Mus musculus: one gene and its partners. The protein of the gene in region 6 interacts with the protein of the main gene of each other region in a pairwise test. Links are inferred from orthologs where the notes say so. Each region holds a gene or a part of one and is shown on either strand. Other genes may lie near its edges. The genes, in order: Unc45a, Trim42, Cib3, Chic2, Csf2, Meox2 and Fuca2.

The links.
Region 1: the proteins of Meox2 (region 6) and Unc45a interact in binary tests that used the Homo sapiens proteins (3 or more experiments, as listed by UniProt). The two-hybrid records come from large-scale screens. The link is inferred for Mus musculus from reciprocal best matches to the Homo sapiens genes MEOX2 and UNC45A.
Region 2: the proteins of Meox2 (region 6) and Trim42 interact in binary tests that used the Homo sapiens proteins (3 or more experiments, as listed by UniProt). The two-hybrid records come from large-scale screens. The link is inferred for Mus musculus from reciprocal best matches to the Homo sapiens genes MEOX2 and TRIM42.
Region 3: the proteins of Meox2 (region 6) and Cib3 interact in binary tests that used the Homo sapiens proteins (3 or more experiments, as listed by UniProt). The two-hybrid records come from large-scale screens. The link is inferred for Mus musculus from reciprocal best matches to the Homo sapiens genes MEOX2 and CIB3.
Region 4: the proteins of Meox2 (region 6) and Chic2 interact in binary tests that used the Homo sapiens proteins (3 or more experiments, as listed by UniProt). The two-hybrid records come from large-scale screens. The link is inferred for Mus musculus from reciprocal best matches to the Homo sapiens genes MEOX2 and CHIC2.
Region 5: the proteins of Meox2 (region 6) and Csf2 interact in binary tests that used the Homo sapiens proteins (3 or more experiments, as listed by UniProt). The two-hybrid records come from large-scale screens. The link is inferred for Mus musculus from reciprocal best matches to the Homo sapiens genes MEOX2 and CSF2.
Region 7: the proteins of Meox2 (region 6) and Fuca2 interact in binary tests that used the Homo sapiens proteins (3 or more experiments, as listed by UniProt). The two-hybrid records come from large-scale screens. The link is inferred for Mus musculus from reciprocal best matches to the Homo sapiens genes MEOX2 and FUCA2.

The regions. Positions count from the first base shown.
Region 1 is NC_000073.6:80,337,217-80,341,624, reverse strand, and holds the start of Unc45a (protein unc-45 homolog A), read left to right. Parts: upstream 1-1,405; 5' UTR 1,406-1,505; coding exon 1,506-1,556; intron 1,557-1,912; coding exon 1,913-2,074; intron 2,075-2,274; coding exon 2,275-2,311; intron 2,312-2,465; exon of another isoform or gene 2,466-2,608; coding exon 2,609-2,784; intron 2,785-4,408.
Region 2 is NC_000075.6:97,367,068-97,371,336, forward strand, and holds the start of Trim42 (tripartite motif-containing protein 42), read right to left. Parts: upstream 2,892-4,269; 5' UTR 2,778-2,891; coding exon 2,437-2,777; intron 1-2,436.
Region 3 is NC_000074.6:72,209,904-72,214,325, forward strand, and holds the start of Cib3 (calcium and integrin-binding family member 3), read right to left. Parts: upstream 2,935-4,422; 5' UTR 2,876-2,934; coding exon of another isoform or gene 2,846-2,875; coding exon 2,841-2,845; intron 582-2,840; coding exon 470-581; intron 1-469. UniProt on the Homo sapiens protein: Acts a an auxiliary subunit of the sensory mechanoelectrical transduction (MET) channel in hair cells. Plays a role in regulating hair cell MET channel localization and function.
Region 4 is NC_000071.6:75,024,142-75,027,912, forward strand, and holds part of Chic2 (cysteine-rich hydrophobic domain-containing protein 2), read right to left. Parts: intron 3,275-3,771; coding exon 3,220-3,274; intron 3,083-3,219; coding exon 2,927-3,082; intron 1-2,926.
Region 5 is NC_000077.6:54,246,857-54,251,300, forward strand, and holds Csf2 (granulocyte-macrophage colony-stimulating factor precursor), read right to left. Parts: upstream 3,044-4,444; 5' UTR 2,755-3,043; coding exon 2,605-2,754; intron 2,508-2,604; coding exon 2,466-2,507; intron 2,452-2,465; exon of another isoform or gene 2,147-2,451; coding exon of another isoform or gene 2,090-2,146; intron 1,708-2,089; coding exon 1,582-1,707; intron 840-1,581; coding exon 732-839; 3' UTR 414-731; downstream 1-413. UniProt on the Homo sapiens protein: Cytokine that stimulates the growth and differentiation of hematopoietic precursor cells from various lineages, including granulocytes, macrophages, eosinophils and erythrocytes.
Region 6 is NC_000078.6:37,107,264-37,111,548, reverse strand, and holds the start of Meox2 (homeobox protein MOX-2), read right to left. Parts: upstream 3,010-4,285; 5' UTR 2,719-3,009; coding exon 2,205-2,718; intron 1-2,204. UniProt on the Homo sapiens protein: Mesodermal transcription factor that plays a key role in somitogenesis and somitogenesis and limb muscle differentiation. Required during limb development for normal appendicular muscle formation and for the normal regulation of myogenic genes.
Region 7 is NC_000076.6:13,499,384-13,503,929, reverse strand, and holds the start of Fuca2 (plasma alpha-L-fucosidase precursor), read right to left. Parts: upstream 2,903-4,546; 5' UTR 2,763-2,902; coding exon 2,557-2,762; intron 860-2,556; coding exon 672-859; intron 1-671. UniProt on the Homo sapiens protein: Alpha-L-fucosidase is responsible for hydrolyzing the alpha-1,6-linked fucose joined to the reducing-end N-acetylglucosamine of the carbohydrate moieties of glycoproteins.

The DNA of each region.
Region 1 (4,408 bases), on a different chromosome or scaffold from region 6:
ATAGGCAGTTTAGAGCCAAAGGCCTCACATTTCCCAGCAGATGATAGGACCCAATCACTCTCATCTCTCCACAAGCTTATAATAGAGGAGTTTTCACCCCTGCAAATCTTGGGACTTTAATTTCAGCTTCCTTCTTGTCTGTAGCCAGGGCTTAGAACCCCTGTTGGATTCCTAGGACTACGACTGAGGTGGAGGCGACTTCTTATGGGCCTCCAGGGGAGAGGTCCAGGGCTCCTGCTGACAGGCCTGTGTGGGGGACTGCTTTTCAGTTGGATGAATCTTGCCCAGCCAACCGACCTCTCAGGTATAATACTTTCCCTATCCTCTGAGGGTGACTTGGGGTACGGGAGATCTGATGGTGAGGGGTGGAGAGAGCCTCCTCTTCTCTTCTCTTTGGGACTTGGACCCCATTTTGCACTTTGAGCAGGGTGAAGGGGATGTGGGTAACCTCCCTTCTCTATAGACGTCTTGCTTCTCTCCAGCCCTGGCTCACCACCCCCATTTGTGCCAGACTACACGGGATGCAGAAGGCGGCCACTACCCTGGTTTTTTCTGTCCGCGCCTCTCTGACACTCCCGAGGAAGCCTACTGTTGCCACCTGCAGGCTGCCGGGGGTTCCTGCTGTACCCTGGATGAATTTGAGGCCCTGTACCAAGTTAACTTGTCTTCGCTTCAGCCACCACCCATCCTCAGGTAAGAACTCTAGTCCCGGATTCGCAGAACACTGGCAGAGTGCTCCCGTGTCTTGGGCACTGTCCTTGAATTCTGCAGTGGGAGACTTGTAGCTTCCAGATTAGTGGAGAGGAAGTCACTAAATCATAATTACAACCAATGCTGTAAATGAAAACAAGTAACAGAAGCTGCTTTGTCTTAAGGGGTTTGGACGGTGTTAATAAAGAGGATTTGTTAATCTTGGACACATTGTAGTAGGAGGTTTAATTCTGAATCTGCCGCGTTTGTCTTCAAGGTACTTGCGAGCTCCCAGATTTGTATGCAAAATATGTGTATGCATCTGTATTTATCCCCTGCTCTCGTGGGACTCTGGGCTCTGCAAACCCTGACTTGTAGCAGCCAGTAGACAACCTTGAGTCTCTCCTGTCTCCCCAGGGGTCCAGGCCCGCTCCTAGCACTGGGCATCTACACTCTACTGCTGATGGCACTGATGACTACAGATTTCGTGCACTTCTGCCGTGGTCGGGGACGGAGAGAAAAACAAAACTCCAGCGGCTGCCGCCGCCTTTCCTTTAGAGCCTCTTCCGCGCGCCCTCTACAGGTTCCAGTGGGAACAGACTAGGCGCTCGTGAAGCAGCCCTGAGCCTGAGCCTGCGCCTGCGCAACGCGAGTACCCCGCCCTTGCACAGACCCAACCACTTCTTGGCCTCGCCTTGTTTAGCGTAACACTGACGCATTGCTGGGGCGGGGCAGTCGCCGGCATCTCGCGGATCCCAGGGACACCTTTGCTCTAAAGACTGCGCCTGCACTGGCTCTTGGAGCTTAGCTTCGTGATGACTGTGAGTGGCCCGGAGACCCCCGAGCCCCGACCTTCCGACCCCGGGGTGCGTACTGATTCTCCTGTGCCATCTCCCCTTTCACACATGCGCCTTCGCACCTGGTCGCCGTCACCTTATTCTAGCCCTTCACGGGACTCGGCCAAGACCCGGCTCTTCTCCCAGGCGCGCTGCTCTGCCCAACGCCTTTCTCTCTCTCTCTCTCTCTCTCTCTCTCTCTCTCTCTCTCTCTCTCTCTTCTCTCTCTCTCTCTCTCTCTCTCTCTCTTCTCTCTCTCTCTCTCTCTCTCTCTCTCTCTCTCTCTCTCTCTCTCTCTCTCTCTCTCCCTCTCTCTCTCTCTCTCTCTCTCTCTCTCTCTCTCTCTCTCTCTCTCTCTCTCTCTCTCTCTCTCTCTCTCTCTCCAGGCCAGCTCAGCCGAGCAGCTGCGGAAGGAGGGCAACGAGCTGTTCAAATGCGGGGATTACGAGGGCGCCCTGACCGCCTACACACAGGCCCTGAGTCTCGGCGCGACGCCCCAGGACCAGGCCATTTTGCACCGAAACAGGGCTGCTTGCCACCTCAAGCTGGTGAGGGGATCGGGTTGCTCTAACCTGGTTCTACCTGGGCCTGGGATTGCCCATAGCCGCTGCTGTTTGTGCACCAGTTGGGCATTTCCTAGCCACGCACGATTGCCAGAGGTCTTTAGGCGTGGGTAGTGGGGGATCAGGTGGTTCAGCAAAACAAGGGTGCCATTGCCACTCTCAGGCTCCTGATCTTTCTCTTACAGGAAGATTACAGCAAAGCAGAATCAGAGGCGTCTAAAGGTAGGGTGGGTGTGGGTCCTCATATGGAGCAATGGGGTCTTCTGTGGTGGGAAAGGACTCTGGGGCCACCGAGCCATCCCTTTCTCCTCCTCTGGACCCAGTCACTCGTCTTTCTACTTGCTTTCCCACTTCTTCGGCCTTTCCTTTTCTGCAGCCGCCCTCACCTTTTCTGAGGCTGAAGCACCGAGCTCCACATTCGTACCCCTATCTTCCTTTGGCCCTCGAGATCTATCCCTACTGCTCTTGCCTGGAGACGGTGGCCTCCTGGGTGCTGATAGAGTTCCTGTTTGTGCTCAGCCATTGAAAAGGACGGTGGGGATGTCAAAGCACTCTATCGCCGAAGCCAAGCCCTAGAGAAGCTGGGCCGCCTGGACCAGGCTGTCCTTGACCTGAAGAGATGTGTGAGCCTAGAACCCAAGAACAAAGTTTTCCAGGAGTCGCTGAGGAACATTGGGGGCCAGATTCAGGAGAAGGTATGTGAAGGTACCAAGAGAAGTTGGAGTTGCCTGGGTCTGGGACAAGGATGTAGACACAGTACTCCAGAGAGGAGCTACTGGTAACAAATACACATTAATTAATAATGCTCAGACTGATGGAGGAAATCAAGTTTAAAGCATGTTTTTTTCTGTGTATGTATAAGTTTGTCCTTGTATGTAAGTGGTGTGGGTGCGTGGACTCTTACGGTACCTGGCGAAGGTATGAAGTGATTTGGCTCTGTTAGGCTGTAGTGCTTTAGCATATCAAAGTTGTAAATGAATATCTGATGATCTAGTTAGCCCCTCTTGACCTTAGACTCACTACCTGCCCGAAGCTGGCCTTGAACCCCTGATTCTCTTGCTTCCAAAAACATTTTTAGTTTTACTTTTTTAAGACAGGGTTTCATGTAACCTAGGCTAGGCCTGGACTTGGCTGCGTAGCTGTGGATAGCCTTGACTTCCTGCCTACACCTCCCAAGGGCTGGAATTTCAGGCGTCTGACTTTTATTTCAGCCTTGTTTATAGTAAGAGAGACTTGGAACTTGCCTAAATGCCCAGCAATGAAGAGAAAAAAAAAACCTAAACAGACTAGGTCAGTGCTGTTTCTGAGAAATGGATCATATATGACTAGACGCGGGCTCTGCTGATTGGTAGATGGAAAAGCAAAATATGCGGTAATCTAAGTAGGAAAGTACTATGTTCATGAGGGAACGATCCAAACAGTGGAGCCTGTCTGAGAATATCTGGCTGAATCCGTGACAGTCCAATGAAAAATGTCAGTAAAGCTTGACATTAAAAGCCAGGTGGTAGCGCATGCCTTTAATCCTGGCACTCGAGAGGCAGAGGCAGGCGGACCTCTGGGTTAGAGGCCAGCAGGGTCTACAGAGTGAGTTCCAGGACAGCCAGGGCTATGCAGAGGAACCCTGTCACTAAATAAATAAAATAAAAATAAAAGCCTGTTAAGAATGCACATCAAGCCAGGGGTGGTGGTGCACACCTTTAATCCCAGAGGCAGAGAAAGGCAGGTCTCTGTGAGTTCGAGGCCAGCCTGATCTACACAGTGAGCTCTAGGACAGCCAGGACTGTTTCACAGAGAAACCCTGTCTTGAAAAAACAACAAAAAACAATGTCCACTAAAGGCCAGGCCTGGTGGTGAATACCTCTAATCACAGCACTCAGGAGCTGAATGAAGCAGACAGATCTTTGTGAGTTCAAGACCAGCCTGGGCTAATTTAAAAAGAAAGAAAAAAGTGTGTGTGTGTGTGTGTGTGTGTGTGTTGTGTTTATCAAAATGGTAACATTGGAAGAAAAGAATGGGGTTAAAGAGGTTTTCCAAGAAATACCTGTTTTAACGCGCACACACACACACACAGACACACATACACCAAAAAGAAGTGTTAGCAGCTACCTCAAAACCTTCCTGCCCTCTTTTGAACGACTGTCAAGCATAGCACCATAGTGGCATTTCTGTGCTGTTAACGCTGCTATAGTATGGCTGGCACTGCCTGGAGCTGGTTTCCTCATGGCTAACAAAATGCCTCCCATCTGAAGGCACTTCCTTTAGCATCAGCAGGCCCTCTTGCCCAAGCAGGACAGTTCAGAGAGGAAAACAGCCCAGGGG
Region 2 (4,269 bases), on a different chromosome or scaffold from region 6:
TGGGCCAGAGGAAGGTAGTAAATGACTTTTCTAAGACAGCAAGAGACAATTTCTGTGCTGATCCTAGAAGCCATGAACTGACTTCCAGATCAACAGCAATACACAAGGGTCTGCCTCTGGGCAATTTATATATGGCAGGGCATGGCACATTTAGAGTTACCCATTTAGAGAGTCTTAATCTCTTTTGTGCTCAGTTTCTCCAGCTGTAAATCAAAGATTGCAGCACTTCCTTCCTGGGGGTTTACAAAGTGTAAATGAAAATAATCCATCCCCAGTGTAAATATGGTCCCTGTAATCACCCTCTTGCGCTATCCACCGGCTAATGTCCACAGTAGAGGAGGAAACCGCAAGAGAAGGAAACAGTAGCCAAGCTCGTGAAGGCCCATGTGTGCTTATACTATTGTGAGTTAAGGGTCTCTATTTGTCTACTGGAGGTCACCCTCATGGATTCAATGGCAAGAACTACAAATGAAGAGACTATGCTTGTGCAATTCAAGTGCATGGTATGAGAAGCTGCAATCAGAGTAAAAGCAGTTTAGGAAAGAAGCGACTCTGCTGTGGGAATGGAGATGCAAGCCGATGCACTATCTTTGGCTATTCTCGAGTCTTTCTGTTCATAGTAAGGTCCTGGACTTGACATTGGGCAGTGTTCTCTTCTGACCCCTTCCCTTTCTGATTTCTCTTTCTCTTTGTCTCCTTCTTGGCCAAGGAACCCATGCCTCAGATCACTGACAGTCAAAGGAGCTTCCTAGGGTGGCCCTGAGATACAGTGTCTCCGCATAACCTTAGGCAACCTGAGAGCTGGCTTATCCCTGGGTCTTGGATGCTGAGATCTAGGCTTACAGCCTCACTGTTTTTGGTCCTATTTCTTTTCTGTGTCCAAGCCTCTTGCTTAGTACCAGAAGGGTCACCTGAAGTCACAAGTCAAGAGTACATGTTGTACCTAGATGAGTTTCTCTGATAAGAAAAGTAAGACTTGGAGTCAGTGTATAATACATGGAGGGAGTAGAAGCGATCAGAAAGAGGGAAGGAGGGAGAAAGGAGATACTGTGTGGAGAATGGGCAGGGCTAAGAGAACTCTGTTAATGGCCCGAGGAACTGGAGTAGTTATGAGAAAGGGACTGAGGAAAAGAATGAATCCAGGAAGGCTAGATTAGACCAGAGTGAAGAAAAAGTGAGGCCACTGAACAGCATTGGGAGGGAAGGGGTTTGGAGACCAGGAGAGGGGGGTTGGAAGGCAAGCACCAGTACGTTAGAGCTGACTGCCTGGCACTGAAGTACAAACAGGGTGTCTGCTGCCCACAGATTTCCATGCTAAAGCAGCCACCAAGGCCCACAGCCTTGCCTTCCTGCCCTGCCTCTGCTCCACTGCACAGCCCACTCCCTGCTAAGTCTTGCTCGTTCTCACATCTGCCTTCCAAGCCTCTAGGTCCCACGCTGATGACTCCAGTTCTCCCTGTTAGAATCACCGGATGGGGATCGAGTTCTTACAGTTCTGAAGCCCACGTTGTACCCCAAGATCAATGGAAAAGAGAATGCTGAGGTGTGGAGAGCATGCAGGAGCGTTTATTTTTAAAGGTCCCCAGGGGATTTATATGCACTTCTGAATTTGGGAGCTGCTGATGTCTACGACTCTAAAGCACTAGCTGTGATCTTCCCTTCCCTGTGAAATCTCCCCTGGCTCCTGATGTCCCTGACATGTGACTTAAAAAGAGCAGCTTGCTAGCCTGTGGGGTAGCCACTTTACTGAGTGACTGAGAACCTGACAGTCATGACTTTGGAGGGGAAAGAAAGGGTGGCTGTCAGCTCAGGGTACTTCTGTAGGTTGCTACCTATGGTCAAAAGCGGCTCCTAGAAGTCCGTACTCACCTGGTAAATGCTGCAGTTTACAGGAAGGGGATGAAGAACAGTTTATATTTTTCAGATCATCTAACAGGCTATGGAGCCTATACCATATAAGGGTCTCCATTTTGTCATGACTTTTTGTTTTTTTTTAAATTTTGGACCCTTGCCCTAGCTCTGGATTCAAGTCATGACTCTACCCCCTTCCTAGCTGCTTAGTCTTGGGCAACTTAGTATCTCCCAGCTAAATATTTTCCTGAGTCCAGCTGGCACAGAGTGAGGAGAGGGATGGATACATGAACAGTGGCTGGCAAAGTTTCTTGAGGGCCATCACTTGTTTGCAAGGTGAGAGCTCTTGGGGTCAAAGGGTACATGTAGCATGCATTCACATCGGTAAAGGAACTTGGCTGTTTAACTGCTACAAAATTACCATTGTTTTTGTTTGTTTGTTTGTTTGTTTTTTTGTTTCCCATGTAGAGTATACTCTAGGAAGCACTGGCCTGTTCTGGGGTACCCACAGCTGGCACATGTTCTCCAGTTATTTTGAGCCAACATAGCCAAACGACGGATGGCCAGCACTCATGCAGTACTTACGAGGTGACGATGCTTCGAAGGCGACCCTTTCTGAATGTGATGGTAACATTGCGGCAGCAGTGGCTCTCGTAGTAGTAGCACTTCAGATTGGTGCTGGCCGTGCAGCAGCACTTACAGTTGGGGTCATTGGCCCAGGAGCAGCAGCACCAGTGGCAATTGGGGTTCTCTGCACAGGTGCAGTGGCAGAACTGGCAGTTCCGCTCATCCTTGTAGGGGCAGGGGAAGCAGGTGCAGTTCCGCTCGGAGGTGAAGATGAACTTGCAGCACAGGCAGGAGAACAGCCGGGGGCAGCATCTCTGCCAGGTACAGCAGGGAGAACAGACACACATAGCCGTCTCCATGGCTCCTAGTTCTGGTACAAGGCCTCTAGAGTTTTGACAATGTTCTCTACCAGATTATTGTGGCCACTTCTCTCCCAAAGGGACCCTTGCCCACTCTCGTGAGGCTGGCAGTTTGGGAATTGTGGCAGGAAGTTGGCCAGTTTATGAGGCCTTCACAGGTGGTGGTCCTCCTCTGAGCTGGCGTTACCTATTTCAGCCTGTGGACATTGCTTATGTCATAATCCCTGACTCCCACCATGTCTTCACATGCTCAGTAGTAGGTAAGAGGAGGGCACCCAGGGGTGGTAGCTGGGATACATACTGGGTGTTTTTCAAGAGACTGATGTCACAGGAGTGGTGGCACCACGGAGCTCTTGGAGGCTTTAGCGGCCATCTGTTGTGTTTCAAGTGCTCACATGGATTTTAGATGCTGTTTTTCCTTGGTTGGTACTATTACTGCTATTTGGGTAACTTGAATTCAGGTTTTTTTTTTTTTTTGGTTTTTGTTTTGTCTTTATTGACTGAAAGACCGGGGTGTGACTAATTAGACATACAGACTGACACCATGTTCCTCTTCCGTCAGCAGAACTCTGACCAGCAAAGCACAATGTTTACAAATAATGGCGCCATCACAGTGAAAGGGTCATCACTATTCAGAAAAGGGGCTGAAGGGACAGAGACACAGGCTCACTCATGTCCCTTCAGAGTTCATGATCACGAGGCTTTATGCTTAAGTCGTCCACAGGTTTAGGACTCAGACTTTGTTTTCTTCTCCTCTGTACCCTTGCCCTAGACCACCCCACCCCTCCCCACCCCACCCCACCCCACCCTACCCTACCCCACCCCACCCTACCCCACCCCACCCTACCCTATCCCATCTCACCCCACCCTACCCTACCCCACCCCACCCTACCCTACCCTACCCTACCCTACCACCCCACCCCACCCCATCTCACCCCACCCTACCCTACCCTACCCTACCCTACCACCCCACCCCACCCCATCTCACCCCACCCTACCCTACCCCACCCCACCCTACCCTACCCTACCCTACCACCCCACCCCACCCCATCTCACCCCACCCTACCCTACCCCACCCCACCCCACCCTACCCTACCCTACCCTACCACCCCACCCCACCCCATCTCACCCCACCCTACCCTACCCCACCCCACCCTACCCTACCCTACCCTACCACCCCACCCCACCCCATCTCACCCTACCCTAGCCCCACCCCACCCCACCACATTCATTTATCAAGAGGTGCAGAATCATTAGCTACTCGGCCAGTGTGCACCCAGGAACTCTAGAAACAGCGCCCTATCAATCAGGGGAAGTCTTGCTTTCCCCTTCATACAGCTTGCAAAGATTAAAGGAGCAGAGGTCTCACGGCCATGCCGTCCTAGAACAGGACCGCTGTCTCATTATATTTCTAAAAAACAGCAGAAGTGAGAGCTGAATTTGGCTGTGGGAGTTTAGTGAATAATTTATTACCTCTTCCCATGATCATCAC
Region 3 (4,422 bases), on a different chromosome or scaffold from region 6:
AATCAGCTAAGACATGTTGCGGCATGGGTGATCTGCCTTGGGAGACAGATTTAGGACCTTAGTAAGGAACTTAGATGATGTGAACCTTGTGTGATGAACCTCAGCAGAGTGAAATACAACTTTTGTGTGTGTGGATTCAAGACATGGTTTCTCAGTGTAGCCCTGACTGCCCTGGAATTTGTTCTGTAGACCAGGCTGGCCTTGAACTCAGATCTGCCTGCCTCTGCCTCTGTGTCTTTCTGATCTACCTACAGCCCAGACTAACTTCAAACTTAGAGACTTGCTTGCCTCTGCAAGAGGTCTGAGTCCCACCATGCCCTAGCCCATGAGTGCCCTTTAACCTTGTCCTTCCTATGTGTGCCTCTTGGAGCCCCAGTTTTCTGTAAGATGGAGGTACCCATGACCACATAGGAAAGCAGTAAAGACATTTTCAGTCTGCTTCTGCTCTTTGTCCACAGCCCAGGATTACCTTCAGCTCTGGCATGCTGCCAATCAGTTCATAGGGCACCTTCACCTTGGGACTGGTCGTGTAGTCAAGAGGCACCAACTGAGGGGCCAGGTCCTGGTATCGATAGAACAGCCTGGTATGAGGAAAGAGAAACCGGGAAAGGCTGGGACCAAGAAGCAGAAGGGATTTGACCCTCTTCTTGTGTGTTAACAGTACTCGCTCTACAAGGTCAAATGCTGGTCCCCAGAAGCCTCATGCATGAGTCTGAATCTTGAGTGCACCGAGCCAGAAAGAGCTACCCCTGTTTCCCTCCTCACAGACAAGGCCAATGTAGAGCAAGGAAGTAGAAACCAGGCAAGGAGGAAGAGCTTCCTGGAGGAAGGGACACTGGTACTGGGCTTAGAAGTAGGAGTTCACCAGGAAGATGGAGCTTGAAGAAAGAGGTGTTAATGGTTGATCATTCCACAGCTAGTGTTTGAGGGACCTGGATATATAACCTATACACTCCATCATCACCTCACAGGATCCTGCTTCTACTGCTCCTCCCCTCTGAGCCACCACTTCCTTTGCTGTGTCTACACTAGGAGGCAGGCTTCCTCCAATGGGGCAGGGGACAGACAAGCCACTAACGCTCCTATTCCTAATGCGTCTGCTCCCCAAGTGTTGGGGGTGATGGGCTTGTGCTGCTTCTGGCTGGATTTTTTTAAGGTAACATACAAAACACTGGCCAGCACACATACAACCTTTCCATACACACTCCTCACCTGCCTCCAAGAGACCATCTTTGATACCCCTGATGTCTGCAAGCTGCTAGGAACTATCTCAGGCAAGGATATCCCTGGGTTTTCTCATGACTACATACCTGAGAATAGCTGGAGAGGAGGCTCAGTTCTAAAAATCCCCTCCCCTTGTCAGGAGTCCTGTGGAGGAATGCCCTGAGTGTTTATCTTTCCTTTAAAAATATTTTTATAGTTATGTACTTATTTGTGTGTATATGTGTGCATGCTATAGCACAGGTGTCAAAGTCAGAGGACAACTTGTGGAAGTGGATTCTCTTCTACTATATGGGTTCTGGGATTTGAACTCTGATCCTCAGGTGTGGCAGCAAGCATCTTTGCTTGTTGAGCCATATTGAGGACCCACAGTTTGTCTCTCTTTGTGCCATTCAGTGAGTTCCTCTCTCCTCCCAACCTTGGTTACTCTGTTTAACAATCTGGAAGCCTGGGCCAGTCAGGACTCTGTCCATCTGCCCTGGGAACTGAAGTTCTCCTTGCCCAAGCCTCAGTTTCCCCACCAGTAATCTGATCGTGATGGCCAAAGTGACCTTCCAGTAGTCCTCACAGACAATGGGCTGATGGGTGAGAGGTGTACCCATCAATAATGGATGCCCTGTACCCACATAAGAGGGACTCGACCTGATGCCCCACAGCTGAACCGCAGCCAGCTTGGGTTTCACAGATAATGGTCCAACAGACAGAAGGGTGTCATGGGAGTTTCATCTCTGTCCATCCTGTTGGGCTCAAGCCAGGAACCTGCAGTCACCCAAGGGCTGCCAATACTCCCCCACAATCTCCTTGCCACTTACAGCTGAGGGCTGGATCTCAGCTCTGCAGTGGACTCCCAACCTCAAAGGGCCAGTGTGCCTCTCCAAGGCTCTCGCACCTTCTGTGGCTCCCTGCTACCCTTAGGTAAAAGGACAAGTTCCTCAGTACAAAACCTCAGCCAGTATGACAGGGTGTGACTTCTCAGCCAACAGTCTCTGCCTCAGTCCACTGACCTTGAGGCAACACCCACATCAAAGCATGGTGGTACAGGCTTGCAAGGCAGAGGCAGGTGGATTTCTGTGTTCAGAGTGAGCCTGATTTACAGAAGGAGTTCTAGGACAGCCAGGGCTACACAGAGAAACCCTGTCTCTCAGTGAAAGAAAGGAAGAAAGGAAGGAGGAAAGAAAGAGAAAAGGAAAACCAAGAGGACCCAATATGGCAACAACCTGCCTGATGACCTGGGTTTGACCCCTAAGACTCATGTGGTGGAAAGAGAGACTGGAAAGCTGGACCAGCTATTTAGTCCCAGAACCCACCTAAAGGGGGCAGAAAAAAAAATCAACTCTGCAAATTGTCATCTAACTGCAACACACACACTATATCACATATTCACACATTTGCACACTCACACATCACGCCCCCCTGCAATAATATTTTTTTTAATTGCAGCCAGCTACAGTGACATATACCTGTGATCCCAGCACCCAAGAGGCAGAGGTAATGTTGAGGTTAGGCTGGGCTCATTCTCAAGCAAACAAAACAGAACAATAGCAAAAAGATTGCACAAAGGCCCAGCAGTGACTAGAAAGTTGTTTTGGGGTGTCACCTCCCTTCATTCCCCCACTGACCTCATGATCTCCTTCCTCGTGAAGAAAGTACAGTCCTGTGGGGAGAGAAACCAGCTTGATCCAGACCTGCCTCTGGGTCATCTCTCCCTGTGCCCCTCTACACACTCCAAATCCACACAGACAGCCTGATGTCCCAAACAGGGCTGTGCCAGCCTGGCAGGATCCACTGCACACACCCACCTGGTATTCCTCCAGCTGCTCGTGACTAAACACAGTCTGCTTGTTGCCCATGCTGCAGACTGCAGCCTTGAATACACTGGAACTGAAATTACAGGTGGCTCCTCGGGAGCACCCGTGCTCATAATGTTTGAGCAGATGTTCCTGCCCTGGCTGTCACCTGCCCACCTATCCAGTTGGTTGCCCCAAGCTTGGTGAAGCTCAAGTTACAGCCTGGCTCTCTGGGCAACCTTTTGAATGTGTCCACAGGTGTGGAAGAGGTCTGTGAGAGGTCACAGAGAAGCCATTCTGTCTGGAACACCTTCAAGGGAAAGCCATGCACATACCCCAGTCTACATCCTAGCTTTTCCCCCCTGCTAGCTGTGTGGTCTTGAGTAATTGTCTGACCTCTCTGAACCTTGCTTGTGAAATTGAAATTACATTACCATCTATAGGATCAGTCTGAGGGTGACAGACATATTGGATGTGGCAGTGTGTGACTGTGGCTGAGGCAGGAGGCGGAGGATTCCTATGCTTGCTTCCCTCTCTGCCTCTTCTCTTTTCTCTTCTCTTCTCTTCTCTTCTCTTCTCTTCTCTTCTCTTCTCTTCTCTTCTCTTCTCTTCGCTTCGCTTCGCTTCGCTTCTCTTCGCTTCTCTTCTCTCTCTTCTCTTCCCCTCCCCTCCCCTCCCTTCTCCTCCTCTCCTCTGTCCTCAGCCTTCTTCTTTTTTTTTTTTTTTTTTAGTTTTTCGAGGGTTTCTCTGTGTAGCCCTGGCTGTCCTGGAACTCACTCTGTAGACCAGGCTGGCCTGGAACCCAGAAATCCACCTGCCTCTGCCTTTCCAAGTGCTGGAGTCAAGGGTGTGCGCCACCATGCCCAGCTTGTCCTCAGCCTTTACTCTTTCCCTTTGGCCCTGTCCCAGTCATTTCTGGGTCCCTTCTTTAATGAGGACACTGGCAGACCTAACAATGCATCACTAAGCAGAGGCTGAATAACACCTTGTGCCTCAGTTTACCTATCTGTACAATGAGGTTGTTCTGCTTAGAGGAATATCTGTGACTGTGAAAAAGACCAATCTGAATAAATCCATTCAGAGTACCAGTCATGACTGCTGTCATCTTCTCAGCATCCGTAGTTTATAAAAAAAAGAACCAGCCAGGCGCGGTGGCGCATGCCTTTAATCCCAGCACTCGGGAGGCAGAGGCAAGTGGATTTCTGAGTGAGGGCCAACCTGGTCTACAGAGTGAGTTCCAGGACAGCCATGGCTACACAGAGAAACCCTGTCTCAAAAAAACACCCCCCCAAAAAAAGAAAGAACCAGAAGCTCAGATGTTCCAGACACTGCCTCAGGAACACACAGCTTCATAGGTACGAGGATAAAGATCTCTAAAGGGGCTCACACTCATCTCTGAGGCCATGTTGCTTGG
Region 4 (3,771 bases), on a different chromosome or scaffold from region 6:
CTGAGTCTTGTTATGAGGAGAACAGATAGGTAAATGGGACATCCAGTGTGGATGGGCCTGGAGTATACTGTGGCCTTTGTCTTCTTTTATGACATCCTCCTTTCCTAGTTCTTAGTGAAGCCCTCGCAGCTTGCACATTACCAGAATGTTGTCATTGCAGTCACTGAACAGCATTTTCTCACATCTTCAAATACTTTCCAGTTCCTTATTTTAGTTGTTTGATATATAATTGGGGTTTTGTAATCTAAAATATTGATTAATGTAGTATTTAGAATAATTAAATGTTATACTAAAATAGTATTTATAGGCTCTAGCATTATTAGACTAGCAGAGTGGTCCATGACAATGAGGGTTGGAAATCCCTGCTATCTTGTCTCCCATCTTACAAAGGTGTTCTAGTACTCTCCATACATTCATGACATGGTACAGAGAAGTTATACTCAAGGCAGGAAATGTATAGAGAACTATAAGGTTTCACTTTTGTTTTTTAAATATAGCATCCACATATTAAAATCTCTTGTATTACTCATTTAAAAAGTAAAAGAAGGGAGGAAAGAGGGAGGGAGAAAGGGAGAAAGAGAGGGAGAGAGGGAGGGAGGGAGGGAGGGAGGGAGGGAAGGAGGGAGGGAGGGAAAAGATAAGATCAGATCTGAAAATCAAGGCCAGATCCAACAAACAAAGCCCACCACCGTAACCATATGACCTGGACAGCCACTCAGACAACAGCAAGGCCTGAAATGAGGAAGGCAGTGAGAGACAGAGCCTAAAGAAAATCAGAAAATACAACTGTGAATCCAAACACTGCCAGACAGTTTTTTTGTGGCCTAGAGGCAATCTGGCAAGAATTAGGGGGGTAAAAAAATCTCTAAGAAAGTAGGGCCAGCAAAAAAAAAAAAAAAAAAAACCCTTCCGCTGCACAAGCTCAATGACCTGAGATCCACCCGAAACCCACTCAACGGCAGAAGAGAACTGACTGCACAGTGTTGTCCCCTGGCCTTTAAACACTTCTGGCGGTACCTGCACCTCCCATGTTCAACACACAAATAATAAAATAGTTTATGAGAAATATAAGTATTTTAAATATTATAAAAAATAATATACAACTCTATTATGAAAGCATCATTTCCTTTCTAGCAATAAATCAGCTCAAAAATTTTCAGTAAAATATACCTCTAACTCTATAATAGAAGTCAAGTAACAAATTAAATGTGATTTCCTTCATTTCCTCGCCATTATCTAGCACAAAAATTAAATGTTTCCACAGAAAAACATTCAAGCCAAATTGGTTGACACCTGCCCCCCTCCTTTGGTTTTCCAGGCTGGCCTTAACTTACTATGTAGCAAATTCACAATCCTCCTGTCTCAGCCTGAGTGTTAGGATTTCATACCTGAGTTACCATACATGGCTGAATATTACATCAACTTCACACGTGTAAGTATAATAGTTAAGATAACAAAAACAATGGTGATGTGTTAGGCATGGTGGCCTGGAGCATTTGGGAGGCAGAGGCAGGCAGATCTCTTAGTTCAAGACTAACCTGAAGTGAGTTTCAAGCCAGTCAAATCCAAGGAGTAAAACAATGTCTTCAAAAACAAAACAAAACAAAAACCACCCAACCAACTTTTGATTTGTATCATTTTGGCATATCTATAACTAACATCTTGGAACTTTTTCATTATAAGCAATGAAAATTAGGTCTTCCAATGATTTTTCCTAATCAGAGTCAGTGTATATTCATTATAGAGAAACTGTAAAGTACAAAAATAAAATAACCCATATTATTTTCCTGTAAGCATTTTATCTCCTCCATGGGTACTCTCATAGTACTAGTAATAATATTAGTCACTCCTTATTGACAACTTCTGTTATGGGTTAGATTTGAAGGACTCCCTCCAAAAGCTTGTATGTTAGGGGATGGAGAGGTGAGTTGGGAGTACTGGCTGCTCTTGCAGAGAACCAGGACCACTAGCCTCTGTAACTACTTCCAGGAACTCTGACAGGATAGACCACAGAGACTCAGGTACTGAACGTGAGTGCACAGGAGACACTGACGTACACCAATGTCATTTAAAAGTAAGAGGAGAGCTGTGCGATAGCTCAGTTGACAGTAGAGCTTGGGAGACTGTGGACTGCAAGATGATCTGGATTACAAGGAATACAACCTACTCAACAGACTAAATCACTCATAGATTCCTAACATGAAGGCATATTGGAAAGTGGTTCAAATGTCTAGACATAGGATCTAGAGGAATGGGTAGGAAGGACTCTGTTCTCAGGGGCTACATCTTGTTCCAATCTCCTCCTTCCCTCTCTGACGCCTGATGACTATGAGGCATGCAGCTCTACTCAGCCATCATGATGGTTTTGCATGGTCAGGCACAGAAGTAATGGAGCCAGCGTAACAGTCCATGACTAAAATCTCTAAAACCATGAGCCAAAGTACACAGTTCTTCCTTTAAACTGTCTCTCTTATACTTAAAACAGCATTGAAGCTGACAGAATTTCTCATAAGCTGTTCAGCTAAGAGCTTTATAAATACTATTTTACTGTATCCTTACAACAATTCTATTCAAATCACAGGTGAATATTATTATTTTATAGCTGTATCAATCAGATTTAAAGAGGTTCAGAAGTATGTCCATGGGCACAGAAATATACAGTACCATTCTAGTCCATAATTAATGCATACAGACATAGGGCTGCACCTTTTGACTATAATTTCCTAATGTATAAAAATTATGACGACTGTTACACAGCTGTTTTATAATATTTGAATATATGATTTAATTAATCTTGCTTTACTATATCAGATTACTTCTATATAGCATTCAGAACAGTGTGGTTCATTAAACAGAAAAAAAAAAGGTAAAAGTAAGACTTGTTTCACACTTCTAAATGTAAATTAAAAGACATAATTCAACTTACTCTTTTACTGAGGCAAATAACTGGCCACATACTGCACCCTAACGTGCAGCAGCAGCACAGGCAGCCACAAAGCAACCACCGCACATTAACAGGAAGATTCTTCCTGAGACAGCTGTTAACTCTGTTGATGCTGGCTTTAAATTCTTCAGGAGCTACCTACAGGAAGGGAAGAAACGTAACACTGAGATGCTGAGTGACAATAAATGGGTCTCAGCACACATTTACTCATTTCTATGAGAAAATAATTTGAGATATAGAAACAGTAGATTAATAACAATAAGAGAGACACTCACTTTTCCAGTTAATGAAGAAGGGAATTCTGATTCAAATTTGTTGCTCAGTCCAAATCTGTTTTCAAAAAGGAAAAAATATGTTATTATATGTCACTGTGCCAACATCACAGATGCTTAAACTATCTAACTTAAAGGTGGTGTGAACAGAACATGGATCCCTCAGAGAGTGTCGGAGACAGAGTGAAGGTCTAAGATACCTTTTGTAAGTTGCTCATTAAGATAATCACAATGAGCAACTTACAAAATTAGCATAGAAAGAGTTTCCCAGTAGAACCAAAACTTTTATAGAATGATGAAGCATGAAGCACAATGTTAAATAACCAACAGTATGTAAGTAAAAAAGACGGTTTATTTCATGAGCTACCACAGTATCAAAGCATAATATATTAATCAAATAGCAAATTTTCTAGCTTTCACTGTTTTGAATTCCTACTGCATTTTGTCTTTTAAATACCAAATGACTAGTACCCACTCGCTTCAATTTATTTCAATCTGAACCAAAAACATTTGTTCAATGTTTATTTCCCTTGCTTCTGAGTTGTAGTGCTATTT
Region 5 (4,444 bases), on a different chromosome or scaffold from region 6:
TGTTGAGGCCCCAAGTGTGAGGGCAGAATAGTGACACAGGGTCTGTGATCTCAAACGGGAACAGTATTTTGCTGAATGCTAGGATTCTCTTGTTTAGACGCTTGTCCACCAACTCCAGAAGTCCCTTAGTTCCTAGAAAGGATGACACCCCTTCTCTGAGCCATGTCTGTGAACCGGTTACTTCAACTTCCTGGTGAACCTTTCTCTGGGACAGATGCTCTTGAGCACCCCAGAAGTTCCACCAAGGCTTGTGAGATCCCCCACCCAGGCTGATGTTGGACCCAGGCCTTGATTTCACCTCCCTTTGGCCATGACAGCATTGACTCTCATCAATACCATATCCCAATAGCTCCCCCACTCCACCTATGCCCAAATTTCTCCCCTTTCAAAATAAACCAGATAACTATACAAACAAAAGTTTTAATAATTTATTATTCTGGTAAGACATTCTCAATAAATAGAGTTGCAAAAATAAATAAATAAATAAATAAATATTTAAAAAATATAAATATATAAATAAATATAATGGTCCCTATCAGTAGAAAATATCTCTCGTTTGTCTTCCGCTGTCCAAGCTGAGTCAGCGTTTTCAGAGGGCTATACTGCCTTCCAACTGTGGCTGTGCCACATCTCTTGGTCCCTTTAAGGCAGAAATTCCAAGTTCCTGGCTCATTACGCAGGCACAAAAGCAGCAGTCTGAGAAGCTGGATTCAGAGCTGGCCTGGGCTTCCTCATTTTTGGCCTGGTTTTTTGCATTCAAAGGGGATATCAGTCAGAAAGGTTTTAAGGCTGTCTATGAAATCCGCATAGGTGGTAACTTGTGTTTCACAGTCCGTTTCCTGGAGGGAATGGAAAAAAATAAACAGCACTTGAGTCCAGGTAAGTGGGCCACGTGGGGAAAGAACTGTGTATTTCTCTCTCGCTGCTGAGAACTCAGAGGCCAGAAGCCCATTTGTAAGGATCAGGTGACACTATAGCTGCCCGTGTGCTGCCTAAGGCATGCACAGCTCTGCCAATGGCACCCAGGGACTGTGCCCTTACAGAAGGACTGTCTCAGGTCTGCCTCTTTGGTTCCCACCGAGAAGCAAGCAACCAGCCTGAGGCATCTCCTCACCTCTAAAAAGACACAAGGCTCACTGTCTTTGATGAGGAAAGGAAATAGGAATGTTTGGGGTGTCTGCCCATTCTAGGAGCCTCCTCCTTGTATCCATGGAATACAGGCATCCTTACAGGAAAGTCCTGCCAGGAAGTGGCATCTGGGTGCTGGCTCTTGGCTCTCCTGGGCTTGGGCAGGCCCTGAGCTTCCTTGGGTTTGCCTCACCTCTGACCTCATGACTGACAATGGCATGTGTGACATGGGCAGATGGTTCCTCCTAGGAAGAGCAGTGGGCTCTCTGCTGTTTCTCAGCTTAGGGTCTAGGGATGAATAGGAGCTATGGCCTGTTCTTGGGGGGCTCCTAGGAAACATCTAACAATACAGAAACCACTTACTGGGGCCCTGAACAGCTACAGCCAGAAGTCTCTCCTTACTGGCCGCACCCTCCCAGACTAAGACCTGGGGCCCTGATGCTGTGTACTCACCGGAGTTGGGGGGCAGTATGTCTGGTAGTAGCTGGCTGTCATGTTCAAGGCGCCCTTGAGTTTGGTGAAATTGCCCCGTAGACCCTGCTCGAATATCTTCAGGCGGGTCTGCACACATGTTAGCTTCTGTGGGAAGCATCCATTTGTTGATAAGCAAAAGCCAAGTGTCCATAGAATACAAGCTAACTTCTCCCTACTCCCTTCTGCTCCCACCAAGTGGTACAGGTTGGGGCTAGTCATAACACTGTCCTGAGCACTGCCCTTCTTCTTGCCTGGTCCAGGCCACCTCAGCTACCACAGCCATGTTTATAGTCTGGTACCATAGAGGTTCCCAGTTCCAAGTGCTGTCCCCCCCCCAAAAAAAAAATTTGTAAGCAAAGGCTACTTGCTGCCATTCTAGAAGAAGGAGATGGCCAGAGCCCAAACTTCTGTGTGGGGAAGCACTATTTCAAAAGCCCCTCTGTGCCCTGTATAATCAATACCCTCTGTGCCCCTGTATAATCAATACCTTCTCTCCATGGTCACGGGGCACAGAGAGAACTTGAAGGCAACAAGGCCAACTCATAAAGTGACTCTCATGCTCCCATCAATCCCTGAAGACCTCTGACCTTTGAAAGCTAGCTCTGCCCAAACTTATTGCTCACTTGATAAAAAGAGTGCACATGACTGCCACAGGGGCATGGCTCTGGACGATAAAAGAGTGCACGTGACTGCTACAGAGGAATGGATATAGAGATCTTGACTACCCAGATTCTGCCCCCTCCCGCTGGCAGCCACTGGCAGGGAAGAGTGTAGAAAGCCTTGCAAGAGGCTATTTAAAGCAGCCCTGCAGGGCAACCCGGGAAGCTACACCAAAAGAGAAGAGCAAAAGAGAAGCAGCTTACCTTGAAGGAGAACTCGTTAGAGACGACTTCTACCTCTTCATTCTGTAAAAAGGAAGTGCCGTGTTACCAAGCTGAAAGGCAGGGCAAGACAAGGGCCAATGGGTGGCCTGGGAACAACCCAACTCTCTCCCTCACTCACCAACGTGACAGGCATGTCATCCAGGAGGTTCAGGGCTTCTTTGATGGCCTCTACATGCTTCCAAGGCCGGGTGACAGTGATGGGTGAGCGGGTGGGTGCTGAGAGGCTGTAGACCACAATGCCCAGGAAAAGTAAATTCTGCAGCCACATCCTCCTCAGGACCTTAGCCTTTCTCTCTGAGTACTGGGCTCACTGCAAAAGAGCTCTTATATACACAGTTAGAGGAAATGATTAATGGTGACCACAGAACTCCAGGGGGGCGGGGGAACTACCTGAGTTGTGGAATCTCCTGGCCCTTATCAGCTATACATGGGGCCAGTGAGCCTTCCCCCAGGTTGTCAGGCTTGGGGGGTTTTCATTAATAAGCCCTTCCAAGAACTGGCAGCCCACCTGCGGGCTGCTTTAAAGGCCTTTCCCACCCTGCCTGGGCAGTCTGACCCAGCCTCTGGCTAGCCTCTCCTTTTTGAGGGGCCTCCAGGCATATTTGGATTTCCTGGCCTGGAGTGGCTGGGGCGGGGTTTGGGAGATACTGAGTGGGGCTCTTGCTTCCATAGCACCTGCTGTTCCTGGAGGCCTTTGGGCAAGCTCTACCTACTCTGGTGGCTCATTCCAGCCCCAGTCCTGGCCCGTTCTCTTTCCAGCCACCTTCTGAGATATACACTTCTCACAAGTCCACCTCATTATCTAATTAAATAAGGTCCAGCCCAATGACACAATTCTATAATGGTCTCCACAGACTCCCACTGAGGAGACCATTCTGGGCAAACTCTGCCCAGCCAAGCCCCACCCCTGCCACCTTGGGAGCAGTGAGAATGACAGCAATGGGTATAGAAGCCAGGCAGACTATACCATGTTCTCTTATGATACCATCCCAACTGACTGCTACAATCCCAGTTACAAAGGCATGTTCAATCCTAAAAATTCACAGCATGGCTAGAGCTTCTGGCTGGGGCAGGTAAGGCTACTCCCATTTGACTGCTGATTCTGCCCTCCCCCTTTGCCAAGCGACTCTTCCTTTGAGTTATGTGAGCCTCTTTACCCTCTTCAGAGCAGCCTGCCATTCAAAAAGGACACATTACTGCTATCTGTACCATTATGGGATACCTGGGTCTCTGAGGCTGGCTGTAACATAGTAACTAGCTGTAACACAATAACCAGGCACGCACACACGCACACGCGCGCGCACACACACACACACACACACACACACACGTGCGCCCCAACCCCCGCTTCCCTGGCAAGTTCTCCCAGGCTTAGTCTGTTGCACAGCCCCTTGCTCCAGCCCACCTCCCTCTCCAGAAGCTCTCTGTGGAATCAGGAACTGCTTCTGGAAAGGCAGCATGGTCTCAAGGGGCTAACAAGTGTTTGATTTTCACAATGGCTTTTGGAGAAGACGGCACGAGTTTGTGTTTGCCCAAGGGATCTGGCCCAAGCCTTCCTATACAGGAAGTTTGAGACCATGGGGATACATATGTGTATCTCTTCAGTCATGTGTGTATGCTGGTGGTGTTGGATATATATGTACTCATAGGAACATGTCAAGGTGGAGGAGGTTTTACATAAGGGTGCATCTAACATGAGCCACACTTGTTTTGCCTGCTTTGTGAGAACCCTTGGGCTTCTGGCGGTGCCCTCTTGATATGAGAGGGGGCCCCTAGCCAAGAAACATGCTTTAGGGCCCAAGAAGCTGATTCAGTGGACTGATGAAACCAGACAGAAGTGAGGGCTTTCGAGGGTCAGATAACAGGTGGAACTCAGGACAAGACCACAGGAATCATGTAGAAAGAGAGACTGGGGGGCCAGAATGGCCATGTTGAAGAACTAAAGGCATTCGTCTTAG
Region 6 (4,285 bases):
CTAAAGATTGTATTTCCCGTCCTTGTAATACGGAGTTGGCACAAATGTTTATTCTCGTTGCTTGTTTTGGTGTTTAAATGAGTTTCACAACACAAAAACAAGCCTCTCTTTGCTATGTGCTTATTTGCCCCTGATAAAAGTGATGGAAACCAGTGTTAGTCAATATTAAAACCATTTTTGTTAAAATAAACTAAGGAAGTCAGTTTTTAGTCTCACTCTCCCTGTTTCCCCAACCAAAAATAACTTGTGCCTGAAAAAAAAAAAAAATTCCTTCGTGTGCGCAAATAATCTTTAGGGCATTGGTTCAGCTAAGAAGCAGCGCAGTTTCCCCCTTGCGGAAAGAAAACACGGAATCCGAGCTTCTGGTCCTCCCTGAAGTAGATAGCAACCTGCCAAAGCAATCCATGCATTTCTGCTCATAAATGCCCAATCTGGGGAAACCCAGTGCGTTCTGATGCCTTCTTAGGAACCTTTTTGGTATCTTAGGATTTCACATACAGTTAGAGATAACCAGTAAACAGAATAACAGCGATGACCGAGTTCTTAGACATAACTAATCATGATGAAGCATCATTAATCGTTCACCCAGGACCTGAAAAATTACAGGTTCAATAGTGAGGCTGGGAAGCAAGGAGTCACCCCACACCGAGGTCAAGAAAAATTTCTATCATCTTTCAACACATTACAAAATACACAGCCCTTACTGCCCTACACTGCAGAACACCTTGCCTAAAATGTTTAAAATGCTATTATTTTTCAATTCTTCAAACTATTGCCTAGAATTATATGTTCTCTCGAGACACTAGCACAGAAAACGTAATATATGTAAACATTTTACTAGTTAAGTGACGTCTTTCTAAATCTGTATCCAGGTTGCCTTGTAACTACATAGAAGATTCAATAAAGAAAAAAAGAAGGAAAGAAAGAAAGGAAAGAAGGAAGGAAGGAAGGAAGGAAGGAGAGAGAGAGAGAGAGAGAGAGAGAGAGAGAGAGAGAGAGAGAGAGAGAGAGAACATTTACAATGAGGAATGTATTTAAGGGCTTTGTTGTGTTTCCTGGAAATTTTTAGTTTCTCTGTGCTGTCAGGATGCACTGGCTATTGGACTTCCAGGCCCCTGAATTCTTCTGGGAGGCTCCCCTTTTGTAGGACTGCTCAAGTTACCCACACCTTCCCTGCATCTTCTTCCAGCACTGTCAGGACTGTTATCTGTCCACTTTCTCCACTGCATCTCAAAGCACTACTCAATTGATGAAGGCTTTTATTTTCCACAGTCGAAGTTCAAACATTTTGTTTTGGTTGGTTGGTTGATTTGGACTTTTTGCTTGTTTCCCGTCCCCGTCCCCCCCCCCCCCCCAAACCAGGTTAGCACCATATGAGTGTAATTACTATAAGAATACTCTTTATTCAAAGTTTTCAGAGGTATTCCTTAAACACTTCTAGATTACTAGATAATTACTTTTTCGCCAAATAAATAGAATGTTTGGGGAGGGGTTGTTTGTTTTTTAAATATCATTTTAAGAAAGGTGCTATTTAAGGAACTCTGAAAGCAAAAATATTAAAAAAAAAGTTTTAGGTTTCTGTTCTTTTTCTTTCTTTAATTTTTCCTTATCTTTTTCTTTCCTTTTCCGTTTTCTTCCTTTTTTCTTTTCCTCCTCTTCTTTTCTTTTCTTTTCTTTTCTTTTCTTTCCTTTTCTTTTTCTCGTATTTGGTCAAATCCAGTTAAAGTTCAAGGCATTGCGCAATAATTTGGAAACCCAGTTAAGGATAGGAAAAGTCGAGTTGTTCAGAGTTGGGAATTGGAAGGGAAAAGTCAAGGAAACCCGCATGCACGCACACACGCACGCAGGCATGCATGCCCAGCGGATGCAGCATCCCAATGGGCACACCCCTCCCAACCCGTGGAGGGACCCGCCACGCTCCCTTAACCGATTTTGCATAGTGTCACTTGCTCTTTCTTCACCACTTCTGGAAAACTGATTTGCGATCTTGGAGGGCTTTGAACGGCTGGATGTAGATATATTAACTTCAGTGAAACACGTGCTCCTGAATTACAGGACGGACGCTCCATGGATGAACTCGCCCACCAGAGCGAGGAAAGGCTAGCAGCTTCACAGTTTGTCTTTCTATGAGAAACATCCCACACCTCCCCGCATCTTCCTAGCCCAGAGCGCACTCTCCCCAGGGTTGCTTTGCCCGCACTCACCTGAGCTGTCGCTTTTCCTTTTGCTGCCACTTCTCTTCTCTACGTCTGCGGGTGACAGCGCTTGACGGCCATAATCCCCTGGTGCGCACGCGGCCCCGGTAGGGGTGCTGGAGCCCAGGCTAGATGAGTTGGAACACAGGACCGGAGGGCTGCTTCCCAGCTCCGGGGGCCCTCCCGAATCAGGCTGCAGGCACAGGCTGTGCCGGGCCGCGCTTGGTGGAGAGGACATCTGCGGGAGGTGCCAGTTGCTTTGCAGAGCCTGGTGCTGCTGCTGCTGGTGGTGGTGATGGTGATGGTGGTGGTGGTGGTGGTGCCCCCTGTGATGCTGGCTGGCAAACATGCCCTCCTCGTTGGGGTATCCCGCGATTATGCAAGACGAGGAAGATGTGGAGAGTTCGGGGTAGGACATGTGGTCAGATCTTCCATGGAGGGCCAGAGAAGACTGGGAGAAGGGGTGCAAGCCTTGCGCTGTGGCGTGGGGGCTGCGCAGGCAGCCAAAGAGGGGGTGTTCCATGGCATGCAAGTTTCGGCTTCCAAGCAGAAGACTTCACGGACGGTCCGAATGTCCACCAAGCGCTGTCACTTTTCACTGGAAATCCTAAGACTTTCCCCCACTCACTCCAAAAGTAAAAGCCGCGCGCGTTTGCATTTGAGCAGAGCCGGCTAATCCCAGTCCTGAGCCTTAGCGGCCAGTCTCCTGCACGTATAAACACTAGGACCTGGAGGAGCTTCCTTCGCAGCTGCTCAGATGTCAAGTGTGGGAGAGGTGGAAGCCAAAAGAAGGTGGTCCCAGAGAACTGCTTTCAGGGGGAAATGGCTCTGAGAGGTTATAAATAGAGTGTAATGTGAGCTGGGGGCTGGCTTAGGAGCCCAGCGCTGACCACATGCAAACTCCCTCCAAAACTCCCGCTCAGTCAGCGCCACCGTGCTCTCTCATTTCCAGTTCCCATTGCTGGCAGGACAGGAGCCGCTGCCCAACGCCCGCCCGTCGGGCCCTGGGAGCTTCCACCACAGCTAGTGGTGCTCCCAGAGCCTCAGTCGCTCCGGGCCACCGCAATCTGTCCCATAGGTTCCCATGGCCAGACGCAGAGGCACTCAGCTTCCCTAAGCCAGCACACAGTGTCTCTGAGTAGCTCACTGCTCTTGGAACCTAGATCTCTCAGCCTTGGTGGGGGTTGGGGTCACCTGCAGGAGCTCCCTGACTACTCCCTGACTTTGCAGACCACAGAGAACTTTCAAGAGAACTTTCAAGAGAAGAAGAGCCTAGTCTGTCGAGCTTTTCAAACTCAGAGGCCACTCACGGTTCCAGCGTAAACACATTAGGTTTATTCTCTTTTAGGTATCTGAGAATAGATTGTTAGAAAACCTAGAGCCAGGGCGGAGGTTGTAGAGCTGTGCACCAAGGCTAGCACAGTGCTACTCTGAGTGCAGAAAGGACAGATATACAATGGGGTGTGCGCGACACAGAGGTGGATGTAGGCTCTGGCGCCTTGGCGACACACAAGTGTTGCTCCAAGTGGTGTCCCCCTTCCTTCTTTTTCTGACCCTCTTCCCACCCCTACTTCTCTTTACCAGTCCAGTTCGCGAAATTTTCTCACCATTTGCTCACCGAGGAAATTGGGAGGGGGGGGGTCAAGAATAACCCGAAAAAATGTCAAATGAGCAAGTCTAACTTGCTCCCAGCTTCACCCTTCCTAGCTAGCTTAACCCTGCAGGAGCCAATTCACAGCCCGCTCCCATCCTTTGAGAAATGAAATCTCTCTTTAGCTCACAGAGCTAATGCTCCTTGCATACATTCCATTCCTCACCACCTTTCTGTTTTAAGCAGATAGCAAACTTAACATTCCCTCAGCGTGGACCCTGCTATCATGGTTCATTTCCCCCAGGTTTACAGCCTGTGCTCCTGGAAATGAACTAACTGCACACCTTGCCACCAGTGAATTTGTGAGAGCAGGGGCTGGGGTTGACACAGCAATTAGCTTGGGCGGCCACAGAATCTACTGGAAGTCCTGTCCTTAACCCACAACAAGCTTGGGAGAGTGGGCTGCAGGAAAGCCTGTTCCTATCTAGGAAGTGTCTGC
Region 7 (4,546 bases), on a different chromosome or scaffold from region 6:
CAACTATACTATACTCACTATATATGTATGTATACACACACTCACTCACTCACTCACTCACTCACTCACTATACTCATTCTCTTCAACCAGCTTTAAATAAATCTAGTTATTTATTTAAATGATGTCTAAATTAGGGTTTCATTGCTATGAAGAGACACCATGACCAAGACAAGACTTAAAGCATTTCATTGGGGCTGGCTTACAGGTTAGAGAGAGGTTCAGTCCATTATCATCAGGACAGGAAGCACAGCAGTTTCTAGGCAGGCATGGTGCAGGAGGAGTCCAGAGTTCTACATCTCCATCCAAAGACAGTCAGGCGGGACTCCTCTGCACTGGGCATATGACCTCAAAGTCCACCCCAGCAGGAACACACTTCCTCCAGAGAGGCCACATCACCTAATAGTGCCTCTTCTCATGGGCTAAGCATATTCAAACCACCATAAATGGTTAAATGTGTACATAGAAATTGTGTCCATCTTTCCTCTCATTCTGTGAAACCAGCTGTCTGGATCCATAATGTTTCCAACTTAAGCGGAAACATCACTATCCACCTATGGCTATTCTGAGAAACCGGGTTTCACAGGACGGCCTTCCTTTAATGTCTCCATCCAAAAGAACGACCTTACATTTTCTAGCCCTTGTCAGCATATATCCTATGTGCCCTACTTACCTTCGTGATGTTTAGAAGTGAAGACCACATATTTGGCACCAGAGGCCTGGAGAATATCTGCCCACTGGTTTGCATTAAAATACTTGGCTGTAAATAGCACTACAAAATCTTCATACTTAAAACCAGGAGCATAATTATTGTTCATAAAGTCCACAAACTGGGGTTTCTTCTCCTTTTGCCAATACCACCTGTGGCAGAAAAAAGAAAGAGCACATGACCACACAAACACAGATGCTTAAAGTAATTCCTGGCTTTACCCAGCCTAGTATGAAGAATATGCACAGATTCTCTCCGCTTCTCTCTGTCCTGGTGGGTTTGCATTAAGGACAGCTTATGCAAACTGAATCTCTGGCCATATTCTCTGTCTTTTCCTTTGTGTAGTCCTCCTGTAACCCAGCCACCGATTCTCCAAATTCCCCACTTTAAGTCATGATATCATCTTTGCCTTCACACACTAGCTCACTGTGGAACTTAAGTGGCTAAGATTTCAAGACAAGACGACATACCTAAAACATAACTTGCATCGGTCCTAGTCAGTAACAGAAAACATTTTGGGTAGATAGGGAGAAACATTTCCAAGGGCCGGGCAGTTCCCACAGTTGGCACGGCCTTTGCCTGCCTGAGATTAGATTCAAAGCCCTCACAGGCAGCAAGCAGCTTGTCGTCTATCAGACCCAAAGTCACATGCCTACTTCAGAAACATCCCTCACCGCAACCCATGCTGGCTGGTGGATCAGACAGATAATGGGATCTCCTAGTGAAGAGAGAAGCTGGCTTTCAGGTTAGCGATAGTTAAAGAGTGAACAAGTTTGTGTTGCCTGTCTACCGTCATGTGACTATGAAGATACTGTGGGGTAATATATCTCTATTATTGCCCCTTTGCTCTGCTTTGGGTTTTTGATGCTTTAGCATTCAAGGATCTTCACGTCATAGCTGAACCAGGAAGCATTTATTGTAAATTTTCTGATTTTCTTTTTAATTACATGTGTGCGTGTGTGTAGGCGTGTGCATGTGAGGGGGGGGCTTTGGGAGCACGAACCCCCCCCCCCGGAACCAGAATGACCAGATGGTTGTGAGCCTCCCAGGGCGGGTGTGAGGAGTCAGACTAAGGTCCTCTACAAGAGCAGTGTCTTAGTTAAGAGTCTTACTGCTGTGAACAGACATCATGACCAGGGCAGCTCTTATAAGGACAACATTTAATTGGGGCTGGCTTACAGGTTCAGAGGTTCTGTTCATTATCATCAAGGTAGAAAGCATTGCATGGTACAGGAGGAGCTGAGAGCTCTACATCTTCATCTGAAGGCTGCTAGCAGAATACTGGCTTCCAGGTAGCTAGGATGAGGGTCTTAAATCCCACACCCACAGTGACACACCTATTCTAACACGGCCACACTTTCTAATAGTGCCACTCCCTGGGCCGAGCATATACAAATCACAAGCAGTATGGGCCCTTAACCAGTGAGAAATTTCACCAGCCCTTTTGAAAATTCTTCAAATTCTGGGACTGGTACTCCCTCAATCACGCAGGCATTGCCACTGCTATAGGGAGGCCCACCTGCAGAGTGCCTAAGAACTCCGGTGTGAGTTTGTGTGTGTGTGTGTGTGTGTGTGTGTGTGTGTGTGAGAGAGAGAGAGAGAGAGAGAGAGAGAGAGAGAGACAGAGAGACAGAGAGAGAGAGACAGAGAGAGAGAGACAGACAGAGACAGAGACAGACAGAGACAGAGACAGACAGAGACAGAGAGAGACAGAGACTGCCACTGTCTGGGGTGACATAAAGCCCAGTGTGAGTGTGTGTGTGTGTGTGTGTGTGTGTGTGTGTGTGCGCCCGCGCGCGCGCGCGCCCGCGTCCGTGCCCGAGCCCTTTGGGCAAAGGTATGCACTTACCAGAACCATTCACTACCAAAGCTGGGCACGGAGAACACTCCCCAGTGGATAAAGATGCCGAACTTGGCCTGGTCGAACCAGGCTGGCAGCGGGCGTCTGTCCAGAGATTCCCAAGTGGGGTCATAGCTAAGGGCTCTCGTGACCCCCCAAGGCCTCAGGAGCGGCAGCAGCAGCAGCGGCAGAAGCATCAGGAACCCCAGGCGCATGCGCGCCAGCCTGGGATCCTCGGGGGAACCGCCAGTCACCAGGGAAGCCGGGAACCTTCTCTGTCAGCCGCAGAAGCTGCCTAGCGCTGGCCTTCCGGCTTCTGCTAAGTGTACCCTGCTCCTGTCACCTGACCCAGACCGGTTTGGTCAGATGACTACTGTGATCTGGAGTAGGGAGTGGCCAGGAGTTTTAATGAGCTCTGGTTACTTAAGGACCCCAAGAAGGTTGCATTACTCAGGTGCACAACCAAGGAAGTCAGTTTTTGCCCACCCTCCTCATTTTTAACAGCCCTTGGCTCTGTTTCCCAGTCAGATCTGATCTACTTAGCCAAGACGCCCGGTTTGTCTGCTGTGAGACAAAAACCTAAAGGATGGTCTTTGACCCACGACCTCCCTCCCCAAGGACTCCTAACAGAAAACTCTCAAGAGGTCACCTCGACCACCAGGCCCTGGTGGCTTTATGTGTCAGAGCTGTCTGCCCTACCGTGGGACTGGAGCCTGAGACAGGAACTTCGTGGGCTGCTCAGGGCTTTTGAGGAAGCTCCCATGGCTCTCAGCCTTTGGGTCTGCCTCTGCCATCCTCGAATTTGTAGCCGATGAAATCCCAAAGTTTGGGTTCAGCCAATCTGGGTTCGGGTCCAAGATTTTACATTTCTACTCAGGCTCTTGTTATTTCTGACTTTGGTTGTTGGTGGAACAAACTTTTCTGAGAAACTGCGTTAGGAAATAAGGCAATCTTAGTTGAATGAATGTTTAAGAAGTTTGTATAGAAGGAGGGTTTGGGAACCTGCTGGGGTGGCTGAGTGCTTGCCTAGAATGCAATAAAACCAGAGTAGTGGTCAACACAGCAGTGTGGAAACAGAAACAGGAGAATCAGAGTTCAAGGTCATCTTCGACTACATAGAGAGCTACATGAGACGCTGTCTCAAAAATCAGGAAGGAAAAAAAGGAGAGGAAGGAGGGTTGGAGGGAGGAAAGGAGGGAGGGAATGAAAGTACGATCTGGGAGCCGTAGTTCAGTAATAAATGTCCTAGAGCTGTGTGTGTGTGTGTGTGAGAGAGAGAGAGAGAGAGAGAGAGAGAGAGAGAGAGAGAGAGACGGAGACAGAGACAGAGAGACAGAGAGAGACAGAGAGACAGAGAGAGACAGAGAGACAGAGAGAGAGGAACCTTCAGGTAGACTTAAAGAAAAGGAGCCAGTCACTTAGAATAATCATCAAAGTTACATCTTCAGGAACTGTATCCTAAAGTTATTTAAATGCCATTGGCCTAAAGCCGGAATCTCTACTGCTTCCGCTTTGGCAAAACCCTTATCCTTTTGTGGTACATTTCAAATGCCACCTCCTCCAGGATGCTCTGTGCCATAACCACCCCTCCCCCAATAACATCCCACTTCCTCCCAAGTGCCTCCATAGGACACCGTATCCTAACCACTAACACAGGAGTCCACAGGTGGTTTCAGAGTTGGCTGGCTAGAGATCCCAATCGCCTTAGACTGTGAGTTCCTTAAGAACACTTACAATCTCTTCCTGGGTGCCATGCTTTTCAGGGCAGCAGAGCCTGGCACAGAGCAACACTTACAATGTGTTTTCTGGAGTTGTCAGTGTACTGCAGTTCTCCTTGCTGAATGAACCAAGACGGAAGTGACACTAAGTAACTGTTGCTTGTGGTTCCCTCTTCTGCACAGCTAGGAGCAACAGAAGCCACTGTCTCCCCACATGTGTCTCACCAGGACCCCAGCACCACCATAAGAGACCTGGCAGAAGCAACTTACAGAAAGAAAGG